Linked DNA regions of Oreochromis niloticus. The protein of the gene in region 2 purifies or fractionates together with the protein of the main gene of each other region. This does not show direct contact. Links are inferred from orthologs where the notes say so. Each region holds a gene or a part of one and is shown on either strand. Other genes may lie near its edges.

Region 1 (6,378 bases), on a different chromosome or scaffold from region 2:
TCAGGGGTGGAGCCTTATCATATGTGTGCTCTTTGGTCCAGGTCGGACCATGTATGAGGGAATGAGAGACAATAAAATTTTCATGGCGAGTCATCGAAATTCGCCGTGGCGCCACGGCCTCACAGTATCGCGAAAACTCAAAAGCTCCGCAATTTAACATGGCCCAGGTGTGTAGTTGAGACTGACCAAATATGAAGCTTATACGACCAAATCCCAAGGAGGAGTTCGAAAAAGTTCGAGGCATGGAAATGGCAAAATTAGAGCCAAAATGTGACCTTCAATCCAAAATGGCGGACTTCCTGTAGGGTTTGCGTCAATGGGCCCATAGACTTTTTTGTTCGTCTTGGCATGATACACATGTGTGCCAGATTTCATACATGTAGCTCCTACGATGTGTTCGTAGGGCTGCATTTAACAAGGCATAGGTGGCGCTCTAGAGCCATTTCCCAATGCTGATATGTAAAACCATTGAAATACAAAATTTTTCACCAGGCCTGGCATGTGTGCAAAATTTCATGAGTTTTCGAGCATGTTAAAGCCCTCAAAAAGGCAATTCATTTCAATGAAAAATAATAATAATAATAATAATAATTAAAGCTGCAAGCAGCGTTATGAGGGCCCTCGCACCCCGGCACGTCGGGCCACACCCAACACCTACAACCAGCACGTCCGATCTGATGTCACATTGATGGAATTCATGCCTAGAACCACCAGCTAACGATTCATCTCATTCAATCATTATTATAGTCGTCCCACTAGGTGGCGCTCTAACCATTACTGACAAATGGGATAACAAACATTTCCGACCTTGAGTCTCATCACGCCTGCGAACTTTGGGAGAGATTGGACATTGTGTTTTTGAGTGACAGCAGATTACTGCTTTTTGGCGAGTGATTGAAACTCCACGTGCCGCCATGGCCACCCCGTTTCCCTGAACGTAAAAAGCTTCGCAATTTAACATCACAAAGGTCTTTAGATTCCACACACAGGAGATCGGGTTAATCTGATGAAATCCCTTGGAGGAGTTCGTCAAAGTATGAGGCCTGAAAAGAGGCGAAAAAGTGGCTAAAATTACACCTTAATTTAAAAATGGCTGACTTCCTGTTGGATTTGGGATATTGCTCCAAGAGACTTTTTTGTACATCTTGATATCCTCCATAAGCTTACCAGGTTTCAGACTTATAAATAAAACACAGAGCAGGGGCTGATGTTTTGAAATTTTGTAGGGGGCGCTGTGGAGCCATTTTGCACTATTCAAGGAAAATGATCACATAACAACAAAGCCCTCATCACATTGGAGGTTTGGGCCAAATTCCAAGACTTTTTAAAATTTCCAAGCCCCTCAAAAGCCACTTCGTCTTTCATGGTGAACCGCGTTGCCACCAGGGTGCGCCGTTCAGTTTAAAGTCACAATTTTCGCACAGAAGCATCATGAAGGACTGATGGTGATACTCACCGCTTTTCAGGTGGCCACGATGAACCTGTGAAAATCAGTAAAACAAAATGAAAGACATGACATTTCCTGGTGCCACTAGGTGGCGCTCTACGTATTCCTGACAATGGGCACATCAATCTGTTCAGGGCGGGTCTGACATCATGTCTGTAAAATCTGGTACTGATCAGATTGGATTTCATTGACTTACACTAATTTGTTTCTTCATGGCGAGACCTCAATGTTCGCCATGCTGCTGGGGTCACACCCTTCAGCGAAAACTCACAGTTTTCTCTGTAACCCAAGACCAACTCCTTAAGGCTTTCCTGGAGAAATTTGAGGCTGCAGATGTCACCCATTACAATACTGTACCCCAAAGTGTAAAACATGACATTTCCTGTTCCCACTAGGTGGCGCTCTCCCTGATGTCAAATATGGCAGTTGAAATATGTTCAGGGGTGGAGCCTTATCATATGTGTCCACTTTGGTCAAGGTCGGACAATGTATGACAGAAAGAGAGGCAATAAGATTTTCATGGCGAGTCATCGAAATTCGCCGTGGCGCCACGGCCTCACCGTATCCCGAAAACTCAAAAGCTCCGCAATTTAACATGGCCCAGGTGTGTAGTTGACACTGACCAAATATGAAGCTTGTACGATGAAATTCCAATGAGGAGTTCGCAAAAGTTCGAGGCATGGAAATGGCAAAATTAGAGCCAAAATGTCACGTTCACTTCCAAATGGCGGACTTCCTGTTGGGTTTGCGTCAATGGTCCCACAGACTTTTTTGTTCGTCTTGGCATGATACACATGTGTGCCAAATTTCATACATGTAGCTAAAACGATGTGTTTGTAGGGCTGCATTTAACAAGGCATAGGTGGCGCTACAGAGCCATTTCCCAGTGCTCATATGTAAAACCATTAAAATACAAAATTTTTCACCAGACCTGGCATGTGTGCAAAATTCCAAGAGTTTTCGAGCATGTTAAAGCCCTCAAAAAGGCCCTTCTTTTGCCTGAATAATAATAATAATAATAATAATAATAATAATAAGAAACGGAGCAGATACAATAGGGCCTTCGCACTCTCAGTGCTCGGGCCCTAATAATAATAAACAGAGCAGATACAATAGGGCCTTCGCACTCTCGGTGCTCGGGCCCTAATAATAATAATAATGAATGCATTTTATTTAAGATATCGTAGTAATGTGTTGTTAACAGCAGGTGGCGGAACATGCGCGAAACTAACAAACAAATCCGAAGAAGAAGAAGAAGAAGTGTGACGTCGTAGTCCTGCGCCGGCACGTGTACACGTGCTGTTTTCATAGGCAGAGGGGTGTTTTGAGTGTGTGACATATCTGTGTGTTAAGGTCCGGCGTAAAAGTAAAGCAGCAAATATGGGGAAGAAACTTAAGGTCGGAAAGACCCGGAAAGATAAATTCTACCACCTGGCCAAAGAAACAGGTAGAGTACCGGAAAACAACACGAGCTCGAGACTGTCGTGATATTAGCATTAGCAGGCTGAAGCTCCGATCGATATAAAGTTGTGGGTTGCAGACTTTTGGCAATCTTTTAAATCTCCTTTTTTTGTGTAATTTTTAGGTTATCGCTCTCGTTCCTCCTTCAAATTGATCCAGCTTAACCGTAAGTTCCAGTTTCTGCAGAAAGCCCGAGCTCTGGTGGATCTGTGCGCTGCACCTGGAGGGTGGTAAGCATCCCGTCACCAGACATGCCGTCGTGTGTGGTAACAAAAGGAAAAGAAGTAAACCCTCTGGGGGGAAGCTGGCCAGTAGACCACTTTGCAGTCTTTGGTCATTCGCTTCTGTCACATGTGAACGGTCACCAAAGGTCTTTGTTATAACAAGTGGCAGCTGAGTCAGGGACAGAGAGAAGAGAAAAGAGCGACCACGTTGACAGAAGTGTCAGGGGGAGAAAGTCAGTGAAGAGGAGCTGACTGGTGATTGTACAGTTGCAGTTTGTGTAAAGTTGCATTAACTTAGGACCGTGTGTGACCAAGCTTGACCTCCTCTCTAGTGAGCACGACTCTGGCTCACTATAATCACAGACTTTCTTTTGCTGTGATTACAAGATAAAATCCACGAGCCTTACAGAAATGACAATACGGTACAATATGTAATGACGGAAGTGAAAAACGGATAAATGAGTGATTTGTACTATGCAAAATAATTAAAGTTGAATTCAAAATCTCCTTTTCCAGGTTGCAGGTAGCGTCTAAGTTTATGCCTGTTTCAAGTCTGATTATCGGTGAGTACAAATTTCTCCAATGATAAATGGCTCTGTTTCTGTTATGCTTCTAAAGCAGCTGTAATGCGTGTGGCAATACTTCCCCGTAAGAGTGGTTTCTTCTTCTCAGGTGTTGACTTGGTCCCCATTAAACCCATCCCCAACGTGGTGACACTTCAAGAAGACATCACCACTGAGAAATGCAGACAGGTGAGAAAGCTGCTGCTGTTCACAGCATCACTGAAGAAACATAAAATCAGAGATGATATTTCAACAGTAGAGATGTGGACAGCCAACGCTGTGTTTGTGACATGGTTTTAACTGATGAGACACTCTTTCCGTTGTACAGGCTCTCAGAAAGGAGCTTCAGACTTGGAAAGTGGATGTTGTGTTAAACGATGGAGCCCCAAATGTGGGAGCTAACTGGCAGCACGATGCCTTTTCCCAAGGTGAGTCAAGAGAAAAAAACGTCTAGAGATCAGACTGCAGTAAAACAGCATTCGCACAATATGTCCAAAAATTATTTAATTTGGTTGATAAGGATTGTAAGGGGTTCTTTTTTGATACATCCTTACCACTCTTTGATTTTGTGTCTCTGTTGTGCCTAAACTACTTAAGTTCATGTCCATTTTCCACAGTATTTGGTATTTAAATCTAATTTTGAAATCCTCCCTTTTTCACCCACAGCTCACCTGACTCTCATGGCTCTGAAGTTGGCCTGTGAGTTTCTTACCAAAGGAGGCACCTTTGTCACCAAGGTGTTTCGTTCCAAAGACTACCAGCCTCTGCTCTGGATCTTCCAGCAGTTCTTCAAGAAGGTGCAGGCCACCAAACCGCAGGCATCCAGGAATGAGTCTGCTGAGATCTTTGTCATCTGTCAGGGTCGGTGTCATTATTTCATTTGCTTTTTGAAGACAATAAATAATGACCTTAATTTTGACCTTGTTCTTGACTAAACCTCACCTAAACCTCCCCCATTGTCATCATCAGGTTTTGTTGCCCCGGACAAAATCGACAGCAAGTTCTTTGACCCCAAGTATGCATTCAAAGAGGTGGAGGTGCAGGCCAAAACTGTGAAGGAGCTGATCCCTGTAAAGAAGCCAAAGGCATGTATACTGACAAGTGTTTGGTCACAATAAGCATGTCAGATCTGGCTGTGATTGCCTGGTATGAAATTTTTAGCTTTTAAACACTTTGTTTTATTTATCAGTCACAAGGTTTAAGACTTACTTTAAGTCACATTTGAGCCCAGAAATGAACCATCAGTGATGAAGCAGCTCTTCTTCTGTTGCAGGCGGAGGGATATACAGATGGAGATCTGACGCTCTACCACAGTTTCACGGTGACCGATTTTCTGAAAGCTGAGAACCCAGTCGACTTTCTGGGAAAAGCCAGTGAGGTGAGCTTTTTTTTGTTTGTGTGTGTGTTTGGGGGGGGGGGGGACAGTCCTGTTAAGAATAAGAAGAAAACTCGTGCTTTTCTTGCTCTGTCTCATTCAGATCACCTTCAACAATCCTGATCTGGAGTTTCACTCAGCAACCAGCAATGAAATAAAGGAGTGTTGTCGTGACATCAAAGTCCTGGGCCGCAAAGAACTCCGGTGAGCTTTTCCATCTCTCACTCGCCATGTTTGTGCTTTAGTAAGCTGCTGCTACTTTACTGTGCTTGCACATCACATACATCAGATGGTGTGAGAACGTGTTGTAGCATGAAGTGCTGTTAACACGGGCCGTGTTTGCATGTCTTTTCTCACGTTTGCAGCCTGCTGCTGAACTGGAGGTCCAAGCTGAGGAGATACCTAGCTAAGAAACTGAAAGATGAGGCTAAGCAGCTCGACCAGGAGATCAGGTTTAAAAAAAAAAAAGAAAAAGAAAAGAAAAAGCAATTTAAATATTAAATCTTTGTTAAAGTGTGTCACACATAAATCATCTCTACATTGTTTTTAGCTTAAGCTCGGATGAAGAAAGGAGCGATTCAGAGGAAGAAGCAGGAAAGAAGGAGGATGAAGAGGAGGAGGGTGAGGACAACGAGGAGGAAGAAATGGTGAAAAAGCTGACAGAGCTGAAAGCTGAGGAGGTGGCTGAGCTCAAACGGTATGAACCGCTTTAGTTTTGTGTTTTCGGTGAGATTAAATCCTCATCTTTCCTACTTTGTCTTGATAGGTGCATCTCGCCTAAAGAGAAGCAACACTTTACTTTTAGTTTCACCTCTCTTAGCTTTTACCACGGATGCAGTTGTAGGGGCAAACCAAGAAACTCTCTTGCTGATTTGGCAGGAAGAAGAGGAAACTGCTGAAGGAGCAGCGGAAGCAGAGAGAGAGAGTGGAGCTGAAGATGGATCTACCGGGTGTGTCCATCGCCTCCACTGAGGACTCGTCCTTGTTCTCTCTCGTCTCCATCAAGAAGAAAAAGGTAAACGTCACACGCTGCTTCCCAAAAGCACCAAAACTCAAGATCAGAATACCGCTGAGTTCAAGTACCACGAGCTTTATCACTGAGAAGTGGCTTCATGTTAATTTCTTGGTCCCTCAGGTGCTTGCTGACATATCAAAGGGGGACATGCAGACAGCGGACACTCTGGTAGATGAAGACGATGATTTTCACCTCTCCGATGAAGATGGCGATGATGCAGATAAAATGTCACTGGCATCTGATTTGGATGACGAGGATCTGGAAGAGGTGGAACGGCGACAAAAGGAGCTGGA
Region 2 (5,816 bases):
AGGTTGTCAGGGGATCAAGGATTATCTAGGTGAACAGAGCAAGAGGTGCGTTTGTGTGCCGTCTGAAAGTGGAAACACCTCTAAATGCAGGAGACTAATAAATCTCATTATCTGAGGCCTTAGCAGTCCAGGAAAATGTCTGACTAGACTGCAACCGCTCTGGCTCCAAGACCAATCTCTTTCAAAAGGGTAAAGACCGTGGAAATACACACCTCAATACCACCACAAAAGAAAGACGTGCTCAACTGGATGAGAGAAAAATCCCACTCACAGTTTGCTTTGTGTTGTGTTTAAATGTACTTAAGTTGCAAATTCTGGCTTTGTGAGATATCTGTTACACTATACACTGCTCCTAATTCAGAGCGATGGCTCCAGTCTAGACATCAAGGCCAAAGCGAAGCCCTTACATAACCAAAAAAACCACAGCTAAGCTTCTAAGAAATCCGATCTGATGCTTAGTTCTCGGAAGAAGAAAACTGATGAACACTGAACAGCTCAGAGTCTGTAAAGACAATCTGCGACAGCTTAAAAAAATATTCTGAGCATAAAAACTTCTCTGCTGTGACATGAATAATACATCTGATCTGATGCTGACATGCATTTACTGGCTGGAGCTTGTTGCTGCAGTTAACCAGCCTCATTTAATATGAATGGGAAGCTTCGAAGCTATTCCCTGAGACCATCATGTAAATTAGTTAACAAGTATGTATAAAAAATCTGTTTGCATGTTTCCATTAAATATCCCTGGGAGCATTGGGCATTGTAGGCTACATTTTTAACTAGCCAAAATGTACGGCACCAGTTTTTCCCCCCATATTCTCTCAGAAAATACACCTTATATTACTAAATACACACAAACACATTATTAAATATACCATAAGAGGTATTGTTGCACATCACCAACCTTGGCTGAGTTTTTCTTAGCTACTGCATGGCTTTTTATGCAGTCTCATATTCTGGCATGCATATATCGTCATATCCAGGAGCAGAAAATTCACCTATTAACTCCATTATTTTTACAATAAATTGAAATAATGATGAACATGCATGTACTACTTTGCTGCTGTGTTGGTGAAATGGTCCGCAAACTAATTCTAATAAATCAGAACTAATTTGTGGATAAGTGTATAAAAGTATGGTGTGGATTTTAACACCCTTGTAATACTTACACTACAAGCGCAAAGCTGCAGCAGCTGCCACTGCAGTTTTTCTGCGGATGTTAATGCCAGAGGAAGGTTGGAGGCTGTTATTGAGTCAGCACAGCACCTCAGCCACCTTAACATAGAGTTCCTGTGGTTCCTAAACACTTCCACTTTAAATGAACTCATTGCACTCCTACTACAGAACCACGGTTTAATTCAGGGAACGACCGACTCTTTCAAAAATGTTTGTAAAGACAGATGCCAGATAGACTTTTGTCCATACAGTCTAATTGGCTAATAAACAAAGCTATAAGCAGCAGTGGGAACATATGGAAGCTTGTTTCTAACAATGAAAAAACAACTTTTTCTGTCATCCATATCTCAAAATTTAAAGTTAATAACTTCAAGTTATTTTAAGTTACCAAGTTGATAACCTGAATTTTTGACCTATGGATGGCACTTTTTTTTTTCCTTCTTTCAATCGGAGAAAGAAGCTTCCAAAGGAACGTTGATGCACCCTGACAGAAAAGAGTGAGCTCATTAGTTTGACATGATTAGCCACAATCACGTGAAAATCTTCATTTGAGTAACACTTTTTAATCATTCAGCAGCAAACCTTTATGATTTATAGGAAATTATTTCTTGACCTCCTGACTACAGACAAATGTGGGTCCCTGAGCCCAATTTAAAGAATGTTTTTTTTTTTAAATTGTAAGTTAATTTAAAATATCAAATAATGCTTATAATCCCAATTTGTTTTGCACAAACACTCTGGGTTTATTAGTACTATTAAAGTCTTTCCCCAAAGTTACATAAACTACATTAAACTTTGTCGTTAAAACTATGTAACTCATATAAACTTAATGAAATTAAAAATTAGAAGTCAAATATTTTTGAATGTATATATAGAGTTTAAAAAGTAATATGTAAAGGGTAACAAAATTAGCCTTAATCACACAGAACTAAAAAATAACTTCTGCAATAATTAAAGACAGAAAAACAAGTCACTCGTGTTCTACTTGGCTGTAATATTAAAGTATATTTGTGAATTTTTTTCATGAATATTACACATATATCGAAAAGAAACATCATGGTTGCTGGGGTCAAAATTTACAGTAAACATAGTTTACATAGATGGAGGGAGCATCCCACCCGTGGGCCACAGGTAAACCAGGTGATCAGTTCATATTGCATCATGAATGTCCAACACTTTGATGCCAAGGCAGGCACACACACACCCACACACAGGAAGACACAAGAGTCCTCAGCGCTTCCCAGGTTTGCCTCTTCTCTTCCCTCCTCCCCCTCCTGCTGCTTTTCCTTTCCCACCTTTTCCTCTGGCCTTTCCACCCATGCTGCTGCCTTTACGTCCCTTCTTCCCTGCTGCCTTCTTGTGTTTGGCAGCAGCCTCCTCTCTGTCCTCCTCCCTCATCTGTTTATTCACAGCTTTGGTGATGTCCAACTTGGGCTTCTTAGTGTCCATGACTTTCAGGAGCTCCAGCTGCTTCTGCTTTTCATTAGAAAAGTTGCCAATGAGGGGCTCGAATTTCCTCTTCTTGCCCTTCTTTGCTGGGTTCTCCTTGGGCAGGCGGTCCTGAAACCTCCCCAAGGATGCTGTGGAGGTTTTGGCCACACTTTCGGCTCTGGCCAGCTCATCTTTGGACTGGCTGGCTTTGGGGGTCAGGGTTACAGCAGGGATCTTGACTTTCTGCGATCTGGCGATGTTTTTCAGCCTGTTGAGCTCGTTTTTGGCCACCCTCTCCTTCTTGGCTTTGACGCGTTTGGCGAACTGGTCCTCATTCGGGTCTGCGCTCTCGGGGACCTCGATCAGCCACTCTTTGGTGTCATCGCCGGCCCTCTTGTAGCCCCAGCGCCTCTTCCACTCCTTTGCGGTTTCATCCCACACCAGGTTGGTCTTCTTCTTCTTCTTTATGCCCTTCAGCTTGGCGAACTGCTCCCATTTTGTTGGAGGTCTGGGTTTCGGTGGTAGCTTCTCTCTGGGCAGCCGGGTCGTCGGCTCCGGCAGTTTGGCCACTATCGCCTCCTCGACCCTCTCCGTGGGCTGTTTCCATATTTCGTTGATGAGAAGCTGCGTGTTGTCGCGAGCGAGAGCACGCAGAAAGTCCTCTTTGCTCTTCTCCCGGAGGTCGCGAGGCTCGATGCGGTTTTTGTCACACGCCAGCAGGTTCCCGATGTCAAACTCCAGGTCCAGCTCTTTCTGGACTGATATGCTTTTCAGGGTTTCCGCCTCTTGCGCCTCAGCTTTAGCCAACAACTCCTCTACACTGCACGCTGCCATGTTGCTCAGTGCTGCCTGAAAACCCCACGTGTGAGGCAGGAAAAACACACGAAACTGCTTCCGGGTCAAAGTCGTCGAGCTGCAGTTTGACACGTGACCACAGGAGAGCGCTGTCGTTTCATTTCTTTGCGTAACAGCGACTGTATCTGAAAGTCATGTCCTCAAGAGACAGGAAGAAAAATCCACAAAGACCTGATACTGGACCCGAGAGATGGATCTGGCCCTTCAGGTGATCCATTTAGTGTTCACTGAAGCATCACCAGAAATGGTCTCAGTGGGAGGGTGGCTGTCAAGAAGCTGTTCTTAAGGAAGGGAAGCGGGGAGAAAAGGCTGAAGTATGCCAAATTACACAAGAACTAGACTCAAAATCAGTGGCAGCAGATCTGATGGAGTGATGAATTCAAATATGACATTTTTGGTTCAGATTGTCATCAATATGCAGGCAGGACAGTGAGTGTCTACAGTTATTTGTAAAACGCAGTGGAGGCTCCGTCATGGTTTGGCGCTGCATTTCATCCAGTGGTCTTGGAGATCTTGTCAAAAGTGATGAATTGTGACCTCAGTGGCATCAGATACAGATCCACCATGCAACACCATCTAGAAATTGTCCAATTGGCAACATCTTCATTTTTCAGCATGACAATGAAACCAAACATACTGTCATTTCAGTAAAAGCATACCTGGATAGAAAAAATGGATTGAAAATGGAGCACAAACTCAATCTTTGCTCTTATATGCTGTATATACATGTATTTATATATATTTGCACATGCTTCAATAAATCGCTCTGCCAATTTCCTGTTTTTCAAGCAAAATATAAAGAAATGAGAAGTGGCACATGGACTTTTTCTCATCACTGTATACAAAAATGATCTGCCTTTAATAATAAATACATTTCCAAAATTAAAAAATCTAAAGGTGTTTTTAAACAAAACAAAAAACCCACCTGAGGTTCTATAATGTTCTTGTTTTATATAAAAAATTTTTTTTATTTTCTATAGAAATTACATTGAATTGACAAGAAATGGTGTAAATGAAAATTAATGGAGTCATTCATAGTATATCATTCATGATTTTAATGGATTATCTATACATAGGCATAAAAGTGTCCATTATCAGCAGTCATTCCTGTGTTTCAGTTAGACACTGTGTTACCCAATGAAAATGTATTGAGGGCTAATTTATGTTAGCATACATGAAAATTGTCCTGCTGTTTTTGAGCACTGCATTTGTTAAATTACATGTGTGGAGGGTGTCTAACCTTAGAAAAAGAGAAGGGAGACCCTGGTGTCTCAGCTAAGCAGCAGAACATCAGATTACATCAGAACCTCGACTCTGAGTCACCTTGCAGCTCCACAACTAGCATCTTCATTAAAAGTTGTCACAGTACTGGGTCTGTGACCCTGTGTTTTGTGTTTGTTTAATTTATATTCCTTGATTATTGTTATTCATGGTTTTGGTTCTCTTTATTGTTTTCTGCTTGTTTTATATTCTTAGTTCCTAGGCTTTAGGTTTTGTTAATGTGCCTCCCCTGTGTTCTGTATTATGTCTAGTTATCCTGGTTCCTATATTTGTGTATTTCCTGCTTTACTTTGACATCCCCACACCTGTGTTAGAGTATTCTGCTTTGCTTCCTCCCTGTCTCATGTGCCAGATTAAGTTCAGCTGTGTCTCCCTTTTGTCTCGTATTCCTTTGTTACCCTCTGTCTTTGTGTGTGTTTTCTCTTGTTCCTCGCTCAGGTGAGCCCGTCCAGCCACCTTCCTTGTCTGTTGTACACTCAGGAGAATCAGGTTAGCCACCACTCAACCGCCTGCAGCTGCCACGCCACGCCACGCCACGCCACGCAACGCCACCAACTGCTCAACCGCTCCCACTCAACCGCCTGCAGCTTCCACGCCACGCCACGCCACGCCATGCCACGCCACCAACTGCTCAACCGCTCAACCGCCTGCGACTGCCACGCCACGCCACGCCACCAACCGCTCAACCACTCAACCGCATGCGGCTGCCACGCCACGCTGCCAACCGCTCAACCGCCTGCGGCTGCCACGTCACACTACACTGCCAACAGACTGTGGCTGCCACGCCATGCCGTCAACCGCTTAACCACTTGCGGCTCCCGCGAAGCCAACCACTCAACTACCTGCGGATGCCACACCACATCACGCCACCAACTGACTGCAGCTGCCACGCCATGCCACCAATCGCTCAACCGGCTGCAGCTGCTGCGCCGCCAACTGCTCAAGCGCCTATAGCTGCCACACTGCTCCACCAAACGCTCAACCGCCTACAGCTACCACGCCATACCGCCAGCCGCTCAACTGCCTTGCGGCTGCCGCAACACACCACACCGCCAACCAGTCAACCGCCTGTG

Evidence for each region. The genes of interacting proteins can lie anywhere in the genome.
Region 1: the proteins of rrs1 (region 2) and ftsj3 purify together in Homo sapiens (affinity purification with mass spectrometry; 3 studies listed by BioGRID and IntAct, counting the BioPlex papers as one, with this or other methods). This does not show direct contact. The link is inferred for Oreochromis niloticus from reciprocal best matches to the Homo sapiens genes RRS1 and FTSJ3.

Annotation. Positions count from the first base shown.
Region 1 is NC_031986.2:45,583,906-45,590,283, forward strand, and holds the start of ftsj3 (pre-rRNA 2'-O-ribose RNA methyltransferase FTSJ3), read left to right. Parts: upstream 1-2,685; 5' UTR 2,686-2,827; coding exon 2,828-2,894; intron 2,895-3,032; coding exon 3,033-3,138; intron 3,139-3,648; coding exon 3,649-3,695; intron 3,696-3,804; coding exon 3,805-3,884; intron 3,885-4,023; coding exon 4,024-4,123; intron 4,124-4,361; coding exon 4,362-4,556; intron 4,557-4,664; coding exon 4,665-4,780; intron 4,781-4,968; coding exon 4,969-5,073; intron 5,074-5,173; coding exon 5,174-5,274; intron 5,275-5,435; coding exon 5,436-5,522; intron 5,523-5,620; coding exon 5,621-5,767; intron 5,768-5,949; coding exon 5,950-6,085; intron 6,086-6,205; coding exon 6,206-6,378.
Region 2 is NC_031974.2:19,372,099-19,377,914, reverse strand, and holds rrs1 (ribosome biogenesis regulatory protein homolog), read right to left. Parts: upstream 3,476-5,816; 5' UTR 3,442-3,475; coding exon 2,407-3,441; 3' UTR 2,151-2,406; downstream 1-2,150. UniProt on the Homo sapiens protein: Involved in ribosomal large subunit assembly. May regulate the localization of the 5S RNP/5S ribonucleoprotein particle to the nucleolus.